Caenorhabditis elegans: one gene and its partner. The protein of the gene in region 1 purifies or fractionates together with the protein of each later gene. This does not show direct contact. Each region holds a gene or a part of one and is shown on either strand. Other genes may lie near its edges.

Evidence for each region. The genes of interacting proteins can lie anywhere in the genome.
Region 2: the proteins of aly-3 (region 1) and ZK856.7 fractionate together in Caenorhabditis elegans (co-fractionation; one large-scale study listed by BioGRID). This does not show direct contact.

The regions. Positions count from the first base shown.
Region 1 is NC_003282.8:12,121,476-12,128,092, reverse strand, and holds aly-3 (Chromatin target of PRMT1 protein C-terminal domain-containing protein), read right to left. Parts: upstream 4,812-6,617; 5' UTR 4,780-4,811; coding exon 4,572-4,779; intron 4,522-4,571; coding exon 4,402-4,521; intron 4,355-4,401; coding exon 4,263-4,354; exon of another isoform or gene 3,847-4,262; coding exon 3,720-3,846; intron 3,670-3,719; coding exon 3,494-3,669; 3' UTR 3,284-3,493; downstream 1-3,283. Other genes in the region: dhhc-6 (Palmitoyltransferase), read right to left, coding at 1,467-1,832, 1,936-2,147, 2,196-2,504, 2,686-2,971, 3,019-3,141; M18.6 (CULT domain-containing protein), read right to left, coding at 5,326-5,566, 5,616-6,167, 6,215-6,440, 6,491-6,617.
Region 2 is NC_003283.11:10,199,154-10,204,933, reverse strand, and holds ZK856.7 (uncharacterized protein), read right to left. Parts: upstream 2,837-5,780; 5' UTR 2,836-2,836; coding exon 2,702-2,835; intron 2,656-2,701; coding exon 2,424-2,655; 3' UTR 2,381-2,423; downstream 1-2,380. Other genes in the region: ZK856.11 (putative RNA-binding protein EIF1AD), read left to right, coding at 99-137, 183-380, 426-592, 843-966; chpf-1 (EF-hand domain-containing protein), read left to right, coding at 1,458-1,524, 1,602-1,658, 1,709-1,933, 1,979-2,217; nssp-61 (NGF domain-containing protein), read right to left, coding at 5,221-5,283, 5,583-5,676, 5,727-5,780.

The DNA of each region.
Region 1 (6,617 bases):
GGAGTTGACGCGCGTTTCCCCGCAAAAATGGGTGGAGCCTGTTAGGAATGGAATGGGCGGAGAGATGTTTGTGAGGGACTGAAGGAGGGGAGAATACTCTCATTCACTGCGGGAGATTTCGAGTCGATAACGGGAAGAAATAGTTGAATGGATGCAGAAACGCAGATAATTTCAATTTTCCGACTGTAAGAATTTTTCCGACAGTTTCTGTTTCTGAGTCATCAAGAGCGTCGTTTTTTGATTATTGTTTTGCTCTATGATGTCAATTGTTCTAAACGGTTGTTTCTTTATTTAGGCATGTGAAATTAGGTTTCTCAAAATTAAAAATCCCTATTTTTGCCAAGAAATTCTGAAATCTCGTCATTGGAGAATACTACGAGGGGTTCTTGCACTAACTGCTACCACATCTAACTGCAAAAAAAATTATAAAAGTTTTCTAAAATTATTTTAGGTTTTTTTTCAATTTTGAAAAAAAACTCTTGCTTGTAAGATTTTGAGGTATTTTTCCGCAATGAAAGCATGACAACTTGCTAGAAAATCGTAGAAACTCTAACATTGACCTAATTGTGCAAAACAAATTTTAAATTTAAAGAAAAATCAATTTATGTAACGGGAAAACGCAACAAATCGGAAAAACTGAACATTTTTTTTTGAAAAATAGGAAATCAGAGTAGATAAATATTTGAAAATAGTTTTTTTTTTCTAGAAACCGTATAAAAATACCACAGAATTTGATCGAAAAACAGAGAAAATCGAAAAACAAAATAAAACAACCTGTGTGCTACTGTCAATTACCTTAAAGGGACACACTCCTTTCGGGGTGCGGGTCTTGAAGCGCTAGAAATATCTTACTGTAGAATAAAATTCATTTTTGTTTTTTGTTGTTGCATGGATTTACAGCTCAGTTTTGCTATACAAAATTTTTACTTAAAAAAATCAAAATTTAGATTTTCTGTCGGATGACATAAATATTGGGAACTTTTGAAATAAATAAATTCCCAAAAAAAGCTCACCACTACACCTACTCTGAATACTCTCTCGTGCCAATAATTCACTTTTACGTCGCCGATTCCAAGATCATTAGGCGGTGAGCATTCTGAGAGAGCATTCTAGTCGTGGAGACCCTCTTTTCGTCTCCGATTTTTCTGTATTCACTTACACGCAAATTATAACGGGAAGCGGAAAAAAGCGATTCAGAGAGAGACAAACGAGAATGTTATAGATCGACTCTCTGTTGAGAGGGTTCCCGACTAAATCCTATTACCTGTTAAGAACATGATTAGAAGGCGTTGTGAGATGGTGGAAATCGATAAAATAATTTATTGTCTGGTGGTAGTTATCAGAAAACACTACATAAAAACATGGAATGACAGAATCTAGAGCAATTAGATTTTTGAGAGGTGAAAGGCAATAAATATCACACACGAATATTCAACAAGTACATAAAAATACAAATAATAAATTGATCACTGATTCTTCTTTTCTTCTTCTTCAGTAGTAGCCGTATCCTGGGATGTCTCATCTTCACTAGTAGATGTTTCATCCGGTTTCGTGTCGTTTTTCTTTTTCATATTAGAAATCTCAAGCGGGAACCATCCTTTGTTCCGTGGATCCGACTCTCGGAATCCATATACCCAGCCAGCAATTCCACGTGTTGCCACGATTGTTTCACCAGCCGAAACTTTGAGACATTTTCCATCGATAATCGGTTGTTTCATCCAAACTTTGCAGCCGAATTTACGAGATGCGCAGCAGGTCCCAGCAAAATCTTCGCTGATGGTGATTATACGCGAACGACCACGCTTCGATTGTTTCTGGAGCAGTTGATCGATCTGAATATAAACATTTTTAACGGATTTTATTGTAATTCAATTTTTAAATGAAAAACTTCAATGTTTTCATTCTAAAAAAATAATTTAATGAGCTTGAACTTACTGTAAACGTAAACTGCGTGCATCCGTTCACAACTGGCCACCATGTTCCATTTCCTCTTGTCCTCCCGTCAAAAATTCCAATAAAAACTTCACGAAGATTTCTCTTCCAACCAAGATCATATGGATACGTCCATTCACCCAGACTCTTGATCCATTCAATTTCTTCTTCATCGTCACCTTCATGGACTTTACGCATGTTCAGAGACTTTCCATCTGAAAACACAGTAGGTATTTTTAAAAAAATTGTCAGAAGCAGCTCACGAATATAGTCTTCAATTCCATTTCTGTTTCGAATCACATATCGTAGTTGAGTTATGAATAGAAAAGTGAGAGCCAGAGCAACAGCAATGGCCATTGCGATTGCAAATACGAGAGCAATGAAGGAAATTGGTGTAAGAAGGATTATAGGCTCCGTTCCATCGCCATATTTCTGATACCATCCAGCAAAGATTGCGTGATAGAGTGCTGAACCATCAATGATAGTCGAGTGAATACATCCAACAACTGAGAAGAACAGGAAACGAAGGAAATATTGATGGTTTCGGTGACCGACACAATTGTTGATCCAAGCTGAAATATAATATAATTTGTAGATTTTTGCAAAATCATAAAAATTTAAAAAATTGTATTATTTTATTCCAGCTATATTCGGTAAATATATTGAGAATCTTTACTGTCTGTTCGAGCAAAAAACCCGACGATACTCTATCTATTATTTATTGAAGAAGCTCGGCCTAATCTAGAAACTTACGACAATGATGATCCATTTTCATACAACAACGATCACATTTTGAGCAATGGTGAGATCTTGGAACTTTGAATCCGTTGCACGGAACACAAAATTGAAGTTTCTTCTCGTCGGCTGCATTCTCTGGTCTCCAGCCACGTGGCACATATCCTGGACCGAAGAATGAAGCGTTGAAGAGATTTCCTATTGTTAAATAATTCCACAATAAAAATGTTAGTGTATTGAAAAGTCCCATGTATGAAGTAACAGGCATCCACTGAAGAGCAAAAAATGTTGTTACTGCTCCAATCTGAATCAAATATTATTTTATAATGATCAAAATTATATAAAAAATACCATGGTTATTGTGGAGAATGCAAAAATGGTTCCAAAATGGAACATTCGTCTAAATACAGGCTTATCTCCAATTTCTGCAATTGGAGCAGGCCAATCCGGAGTCTCCACCACCTCACCCGTCATCTGAATTGATTAAATTTCAATAATAAAATATTTAAAATTAAATCAAATTTCGAACATAATTGTGGCGACCTGGGTGAATCCACATAACTGACAACGATATTCTTCCATCGAAAATCGACTTCATACTTGATCCAATAAGAAATTATTGACGCTCAGTTTATTATTTTATCGAATTTTTAAAATGTGGACAAAAAGATCACGAGAAAGGAAAGTAGTAGAACGATAAATATAAAAATTGGTGATTGTGTAAAATATTCCGAGTTATTAATGTGATAGAACAACAGAAGGATCAGAGATTATAGCAGATATCAAGAATGTTCAAAAAGTGATTTATAGTTTAAAAAAAAAGTGCTCAGGCATTTCGCTTCGCCATGTAGGCTTCGAGCTCCGCGTCGAGTTCAGCTTCGGTCTTCTTTGGTTTTGCATCACGAGCTCCACCACGGCCTCCCTTGCGGAATCCACCTCGACCAGCTCCGCCTCTCTTGATGTCACCGGCGTGCACTCCGTCGCGGAGGAAATCTTCTGGTTCTGAAAATAAAGATTATTCTGGTGAACACAATTTAATCATTAAAACGTACTGCCATTGTTTCTGCGAGGACCCGATTGGAATCCACGAGATGATCTTCCCGGTGAACTACGAGATCTGTTTCCAAAATCGACTCTCCCAGCCATGTTGCTCGAATCAATGACGGCGAATTTCATGATCTGAAATATTCATGTTCCATTTTGTGTCACCTGAGATCAGGATTTGGGTAACGGAGAAATCTTGAATAACCAAGTCTCGAGCCAATCAATTAATGCGTGTCGACAGCAACGGCTTTCCCCTCACAATCCATCTCACGACACGGGTCAAAACTAATTTCAACGAGCTTCATCGAATGAACGGCCACACTCAACAAAAAAACCTCAACACAGGTTTATTAAGTCTCTTTTTGAAAGGAAACAACGAGATTCTGATTGCCTGGGTCTGTTGTTGCGTACAGTAGATTTCTGTGAACTGGTAGAAGAAGAACAGAACGCATTCAGGAGCGTCCGCTGGAGCACACACTTTAATCAGGATTCAGCCCCAATTGATTGTTTCAAAGTCTTTGTTATCGATTTGTTGTATCCCAATGCAATACCTTTCCATCTAGAGCGACACCGCTAAACTTCTGAACAAGTCTCTCAGCATCACGTTTGGTGAGCGAAATGTCACCAGTACCCAATGAATCACCTGAAAATAAATTGGTTCAATACGGTTGCATATATTATCAAGCTTACCATGCTCGTTGAAGTTGACCGAAACTGAGCTGAGTCTGTAGTCGCCGAAGAGTTCCTCCAAATCGCTTGAAATGACTGTTGGGGCAAGATTAGAGATATTTACTCTAATAACCTTGCTATCTATAATCAAAATGAGTAGAAAATAAGATACATATTGATTTGAAACCCACCATTTCCTCTGCTTGAAATTCCATGATTCTGAACCGCGTCCAAGTCTTTCCATCCACCACTTCCGCCGGAGCGGCGTGGAAGTCCAGTGGGTCTCGTATTTCCTCGTCGAGCTCCTCCGAAGGATTTCTTTTGAATGCTTCCAGTTGTCTTTCTGGTTTTAGAGATGATGTCCTCAAGAGACAAATCGACATTGGTAGCCTTAACCATTTTTCGAAGATTGTTGGAGTTGAAACTGAAACGTTTTTCAATTGAATTAGAACGACAACATTTGGTTTAAGATCAAAAGTAAGTTCACGGGAAAAAACAAAGAAAAAAATTATAATTATTCGGAAGAGCAAATGTAGCGGAGACCAAAGTGGAATGAGAAATAATGAATGAAAAGATAGGAATGAGCAAATGAGGAAACTGAGAAAAACGCTGCGTTTGGTGACCGCGACGCGTACGCAACGCGGTCAACAGCATACGTTACCTCTTATTTGAATAAAATTCTCAACACATTTTTTTGCAGAGAATTAGGGAAACAAACAAATTGACAGCTTAAAATCAGTGTAGAGAAATTTTAACGTTTTTCAAATAATAATTCAAAGTAAGAAAAAGGATGGAAACAAGTATTTAAAACTAACGACACAACGAGTGGCTCATACAAAAAGTTTATTACTTCTTAAGGCCAATTGGCAACGAAAAATCATTCTTGAAAATTATTTTGAGACCAGTGATGTATATCTAGCAAAGTAACTAAATAGGATACAGTATTCATCGACGCAGAATTAACCGTATAAAATTCATCGCATCATCTTCTTCTTCTTGATCATCGTTGTCAAACTCTGGAACATGATCCCAATTTTCCTCTGTATCGCCTTCTTGTAATTCGTTTTGAAACGTAATTCCTTCTCGTTGAATTCCGAAAAAGCGTCGTGGTTCACGAGTCATGCTGATATATTCCCATCCAAGGTGTTCATGACATCTGGAGCACTGAATGATAATCCATGCGTACCTGAAAATCTGACTAATTTAATGATAAAGAGGTATTTGAATAAGCTGACTCTGGAAACCATGTGAATTCATATGATGGTGGTGTAGCTCGATCATAGTTTCGTATTTCTGACAGTAAGGTAATTTTGTGAACAAATCCGTGAGCATTAACATGAGTCATTGTTTGATCTGGAAGCCTCATGATATGTTCATTGCGGAAAATTGGAATGCGACATCTAGAACATCTCCCGACAAATACTTTGAAATACTTCAGAGCAGCAACTATACGACCGTTCGCTGAATCTTCTTTCAAGAGACTGTACTCAGTTAGCCGATTAGAGAAAATATGCTTTGCAGCAAAATAGCTGAAGTATGTGAGGCCACGATCTTTAGCTTGTCTCACAGTGTCATCTCCAAGCATTCCTGAAAGTAGTCCCACGCATTCATTCACAGCACTTTCTGTAACATCTCGAATAGCATTGAATGGATATCCATTGATTCGGGTTGCAATTGAACGTTTTTCGTGAGCAGGTAAATGTATTGCATATTTCGGAATAAATGATGGAAGTAACGATGGAAGTTCGACGTCTGGTAGCAATTGTACTTCTGCTTCACCACGCCCTCTGAATTTGAAAGAAATTAGAAGGAAATTATGTTTCGTAAAACTTACAAATTATACTTCAAAACTTTACATCTGTAGACGCCCATCAACTCCATACTCAGAGCGTTAGAATTTGCTTGAACAACTCTAGAAAGTGTAGCAATATATGGGAGTGATGTGCATTCTGGAATATCCAATGGAAACAGTACAACAAATCCATTAGCTCGAGCACTCGATACAAGTCTTTCATAGATTTCTCGTTCATCATCGTGGAATTTCATCGGGAGTTGTTGCCCTGTAAACTAATATGAAATCGGGAGGTTTTTCTTTTTAAATGTAACTCACCAGGAAAACAAACAGCACTGACTCCACAAATCGGAAACCAATTTGTTCCATAATCTGTGAGTCTGGCTTCATTTTCATAATTTTCTCTATTTTCATTGTCTTGAAGAGCATAATCGAATCTGTGAGT
Region 2 (5,780 bases), on another chromosome or scaffold:
TCGGGCCTTTTCTCCAGTTTATGCGTATAAGTAGAAGAAGTGATACATTAATCGTATACTTCCCAACTTAAAACTCAATTTTTTTTAAACCTGAAATCATGTCTGCTGCTACCAAAAAGAGATACATTACCAACAAAGTAAGATTTTAAGTTTTCGTGTTCTGAATTAAATTTTTGTTTCAGGTTGGAAGCGAGTTTTACGAGCTTGTTGATGAAGACATAATTGCACAAGTCCGACAATCGCGTGGTAACAATTTGCATGAAGTTCTCGATCAAAATGGTGACAGCTATGTTGTATCGATGCCCACAAAGTTTAGAAAATCAGTATGGCTTCGGCGTGATCAGTTTGTCGTTGTTCGGCCAATCACAGAAGGAGACAAAGTAAGACAAAAAATATTAACGAAAAGTATTTTATGTGGTTTTAAGGTGAAAGGAGAAATCGAGTACATTTTGGATCAGGACAATGTTTTATACATTCGCGAACTCGGCAAATGGCCTACTTGTTTCGAAGAAAACGCTCTAAAAATGACTCGAGAAGCTAAGCGTGGTCAAACATCGGATAAAATGATCGATGACGACATGCTTCCACCAAGGTACGATTTTTTTGCAATACAGGTCATTTAATTCCATGATCTATTTGATCGGTCAATCCTTTCTGTTGTAATGTATACGCTTCATTACGACAGTCGTTATTACAAACTAGCTACGAATTATATGAGGAGATGCGAAAGAACAATATACGGGAACGCACTAGGTACATTTTATAATCATCAAAAATACAATAATGACGTCACTCGCCTCACGAAAATTTTATTTTCTTGAAGAATAATATCGTTATTTCAGTGAAAGCGAAGAAGAGGACGAATCAGAAGGGGAGGAGACATACGATGAAGATGACGTTGATGACGAAGAGGAAGAAGAATTCGACACGTATAATCCAAACCGAATGCAGGCACCTTCGAAATGAATAAGCAGTTTTCAAGTTGCTTTCCCTACCCACTTTAAATTGGCGTTTCCCGTGTTTTTGTTACATTACTGTTATTTTTGTTATCATGTTCTTTCACTTCCAACCGCCTTTACTTTCCTGTTTATGCGCCTGCTGCCTCTCCGTGGCATGATCGCGTCCATTTCATAAAGATAAGACAGTTGCTTTGAAAATCGATAGTTCTCTCTTCTCTCGTTATCCATGTTTTCAATAGATTGTGGCTAATCGATACTACGCCATATCTCAATAGTACCTGCCTGTATTATCTCCAAAATCATCTCTGTAGACCAGAAATGTTTTGTTGTTTTGTTCGGTTATTTGTTTACAGTTTTTGAAGAATTCTGACTATTTCTTTGCCAGATTATGCAAAACTGTTCATTCGTGGGTGTAACTTCACACGCTCACTTCTTGGTTTCCATTCTTCAGAAACTTTTCTCTCAAAACTGATAGAACTGAATTTTCAGTGTTACGAAATGGGAAACAGCAGTTCTTTAATGTTACGAGATGAGGAGATTGAGGAAATAATGAGTGAAACAGAATGTGAGTTTAGATAATAAATACAATTATTTTTAATGTTCTTAACTTGGTGAAAATTAGATGATCAATGTTACTTTCAGTTAACAGAAATCAAATTGTCCGACTCTACAGCCGATTTTTATCACTTGATAAAAAAGGTTTGTTGCGTATTTCTTTTTATCATAAAAATAATAAAAAAACATTTCAGGACAGGGATTTCTTTCACGAGACGATTTTTTGAATGTTCCCGAGTTGGCTGTGAATCCTCTTGGTGATCGAATCGTAGATGCCTTTTTCACATTAGCTTCTTCAAACGGTGACAACGAAGAGCAACAGTTGAACTTTCGTCAATTTGTTCGAATTCTTGCACACTTTCAACCGATTTCAAGAGTAAAGAAAAATGCTCTCAACTCGAGAAAAGACAAATTGCTTTGTAAGATTATTCTTTCAAGTTTTTAATTATTTAATTTTATTTCAGTTGCGTTCAAAATGTACGATTTAAATAAAAACGACTACATCACACGTGAAGAATTCAAAGTCATTCTGAACAGTATGGTTGGTGCCAATATAACTTCTGATCAACTCGACAAGATTGCTGATCGAACGATTGAGGAAGCTGATGCAGATCGTGATGGAAAAATTTCTTTTGATGAGTTTTGTCGAGCAATGGAAAAAACTGATATTGAGGAGAAGATGTCGATTCGATTCCTAAACTAAGCTTTTACAAGAAATTCCCCTGCTAGTCTCGTTTTCAGTTTGCCATTTTCTCTTACCTGTACATAATTTTTGTCACTTCTCACCATTTTGCCTTGAAGACACAAACTATCTCAGAAGTTGTTTATCAATTTTCGTGTGAAATCAAAATTGACAAAGAAAAATGAATGTTTTATCAGTTTTATCATTGATTAATAGTTTTCAAACATTTACAAAGGAGCACATTGTCCCTTGCAGATGGCTCCTTGACGATCCTTTTGAACTGCCTTCAAATCATCTCCAACCTTGTAAGTGACTCTTCCAATTCCATCCAAAGTGACTTTTACGGTAGCAACTGGCTTTCCAGCATCATCCCAAGTAGTAATCTCCCAATCCTTGAGTCCACATTCATCGGCTTTCTGTTGGAAGGTGTTCTTCTGAAGCTTCTTCAAATAGCTCCATCTGAAAAAGAAAACATAATTTTTCTATTGATGTCCTCCGAACAAACCTTTCAGATTTCTTTCCATTGCTGGCAACAATTTGTCCGCTGAATTTCTTGTCTGTGTCCGATTTCAAATGAACAATGATGTCACATGCGAGAGCGACAGATAAAAAGAACAGAAGAATAACTGCGACACGCATTCTAAAAAAGTATACTGTAGACTACAATGGTTCTATTGATATGGCAAAATATCAGCAACGTTGGTGTTCTCACAAAAGAAATACATTGGAAAGGTACAAAGAATGGAGGAAGAGAAATTTTGTTATTATAGAAAATATTTTGATTGTTCAACTGTTGGTAATTCAACAGTAAAAAGGATAAAAAGAAACATGAGAACGAATAATTGGGTATAAACAGGTAGTAGTCGGTCTATCGGTCGCAGTGGTGAATGGGTAGTCTGCCACAGCGGCCGAATTGCGATCGATACGGGCTGTCCTTGAGAGCCTTGGTGTTGTTACACAAAACAACGATAAAGTAAATCAAAAAGAAGAAGACAAATGAATGAAGCATTGAATCAGTTTTGTTTTCAAACAAACACCGACTAAACGAAAAAGCAATTGGTGTGTCATTTGTGAATTTTGTTTTGACGACCACATTCTCACATTTTCAAGGATCGGCACTGATATCTGTATTCATACTAAGTATACCATGTAGGAGCACAAGAGCCTACAGACGTAGGCATGCGTAACTGGTGACATCCTAACACTACGTTCACACGATGTCAATTAACATTTGGGCTAGTAAAGAAGGCATAGTTGGACTAGGTGATCTTCGGGAAGCTACTCATGCATCGCATGCACACATCTTAGCACCTACATGTTGTATCGACATTTTAAGTATTTTATCAATTTAACAATGCAAAAGAATGAGCACCCCGCGACTGAAAGAAAATGAACTGTCATTAAAAGTTAATATTACGACATAGAAAAACTTCAAAATAAAACAATTTTTTACGATTGTTCTAGTCGATTTGTATTTCTATTAATTATATCTAAGCATCTGAACATGGGCTCGAACATGCTAGAAATTTCTAGAATTTGGCAATTTACCAATAAAAACATAAGTAATTTAATACGATATTCGACGATGTAGGCTCGAACCTAAACGATCATTTTATGTATATTTTGAACTTTTAAATACTGTTCCCGAGTATTTCTTTTCCAAATTTCATATTCAACACAATCTTCCATGTTTAATCAGATTTCACAATTTAAAGGTTAACGCGTTACAGTATTCCATGAAGCCGAATATTGAAAACTGGTATATGTTCTCTTATTGTTGTCACAAAAATCACAAAAATAAAGTACACCACGTGTGTGACTCTAGTTTTTCTAATCTTTTGGTGTTTTGTTGTTGTTCGGTTACAGTAGAGAGATAGACTAGTTTTTGAGAGTTAGACAAAAATTTTATGCCAGTATAAAAAATTTAATTGTCTTATGAAAACAGTAATGGAAGAATGATATTTTGTCTGAAGATGATAATTTAACTTCAGGAAAGGGTACAAAAGAGAGAAATGAGCTCTTCACTTTGAAATACTGTTGTGCCAAAAGTGTTGATCAGAATTCTGATCCTCCGACGGTTATCTAATAAATATCTAGTTTTATTCATTTACTTCCTTGGTCCTGATTTCAACAATGTTTTGAAAATAAATCGAATGAACTGAAGATCTTATTTCAGGTCTTAAAACCAAATTTTCGGGGATCTGTACATGACTAATCTACAAAGTAAATTAGTTGCCATAGAATCTGACGTCATTCTAAATTATTGAGTCACGATCCAGCATCCGATTATTCAAATTCAAGTTTCAACGAACTGGTCTTGAAACTCCGCACGAATATTTGTGGGCTGATTCAAATACGAATAATGTGTTTTTTTCCGATTAAACTACTATTATTGTGACATAATTTTTACATCATCATTGTAAATAAACGGTGTATATTTTTGGTTTACAATTATTTCTATTTATCGGGATTTAGATTGTCCCATTGATTTCAAGTTGTGGTGCAAAAAGATTATAATGGAGTTCCATTGCCATTCAACTCATTTCCTCTTTATTTTTAACTGCATGCTAATGAATTTGTCATTCTGTTTTTTCGAAGGATATCAAATGAATAGAAAACCTTTTATAGACTCTGCTTCATCTCGCAGTTCTTCGTTTTCTGCATAAATGAATTGATCAAACACAAATAAATAATTTAGAGAATACAACTGAAGACAAAATAAATGCAGGTAATAAAATGGATACACGAAATAATGCTTATGTATAAACATTAGGAAACATAATTAAAACTGCAACATGATGCTTGAAATTCAAAAAATATGGAAAATATGACAAAGAACAAAAAAAATAGCTATGGCACCAAAAGAAAAAAGAGATCGAGGAGCTGGCTAGTATTGGTAGATCAGGTAAGAATGGTGGAGGAAGATCAAATGATACGGAGATTTTAAGAGATTTTGGCACAGTTGAAGCCTGTGAGCATTTGAACAGATGGGCTATTAGCTAACTAGAGAACAGTTTCACGAAGTTATTTCCTTTTTTCGAAATCTTTGAATTGACGACGAAGTCTGCATTCACAGAGAATTGGAACCTGAATATAATAAATGAGATCACAGTGTCACTTCCTGTTTAAAATTACCTCGGCAACTACCAATTTCAGCAGAATTTTTATTTTTAAAATATGTAAAATTTGTGAAGAAGTTAACGTGTACTTTTACGAGTAAAGTTGAAAAATTCCGAATAAATCAGAAATCCGATAATTGAATTCAAAACACAAAACCTAGATAAACAACTAAACATTTATGCTGTTCATTGAATTACTGACTTTTGGTCAAGAGCTATTAAATCAAAACTTGAAAATTCTAATGCTTTTATTTCTAAACCACTTACTCGAATAGTTGCTGGGAAGTATGGTCCACCTGATTTGACAACTCTAACATTTGCGGGCCTATGTTCATATACCGTTACACATTCGGAAATGAATCTGTAAATGTGCTAATATTTTTAGTTTTTCTTAAGTGATCCACAATTTACAAATCATGATCAACACCGTGGCATGGTGGTCGGTTTTCTCCTAGACACTCAACA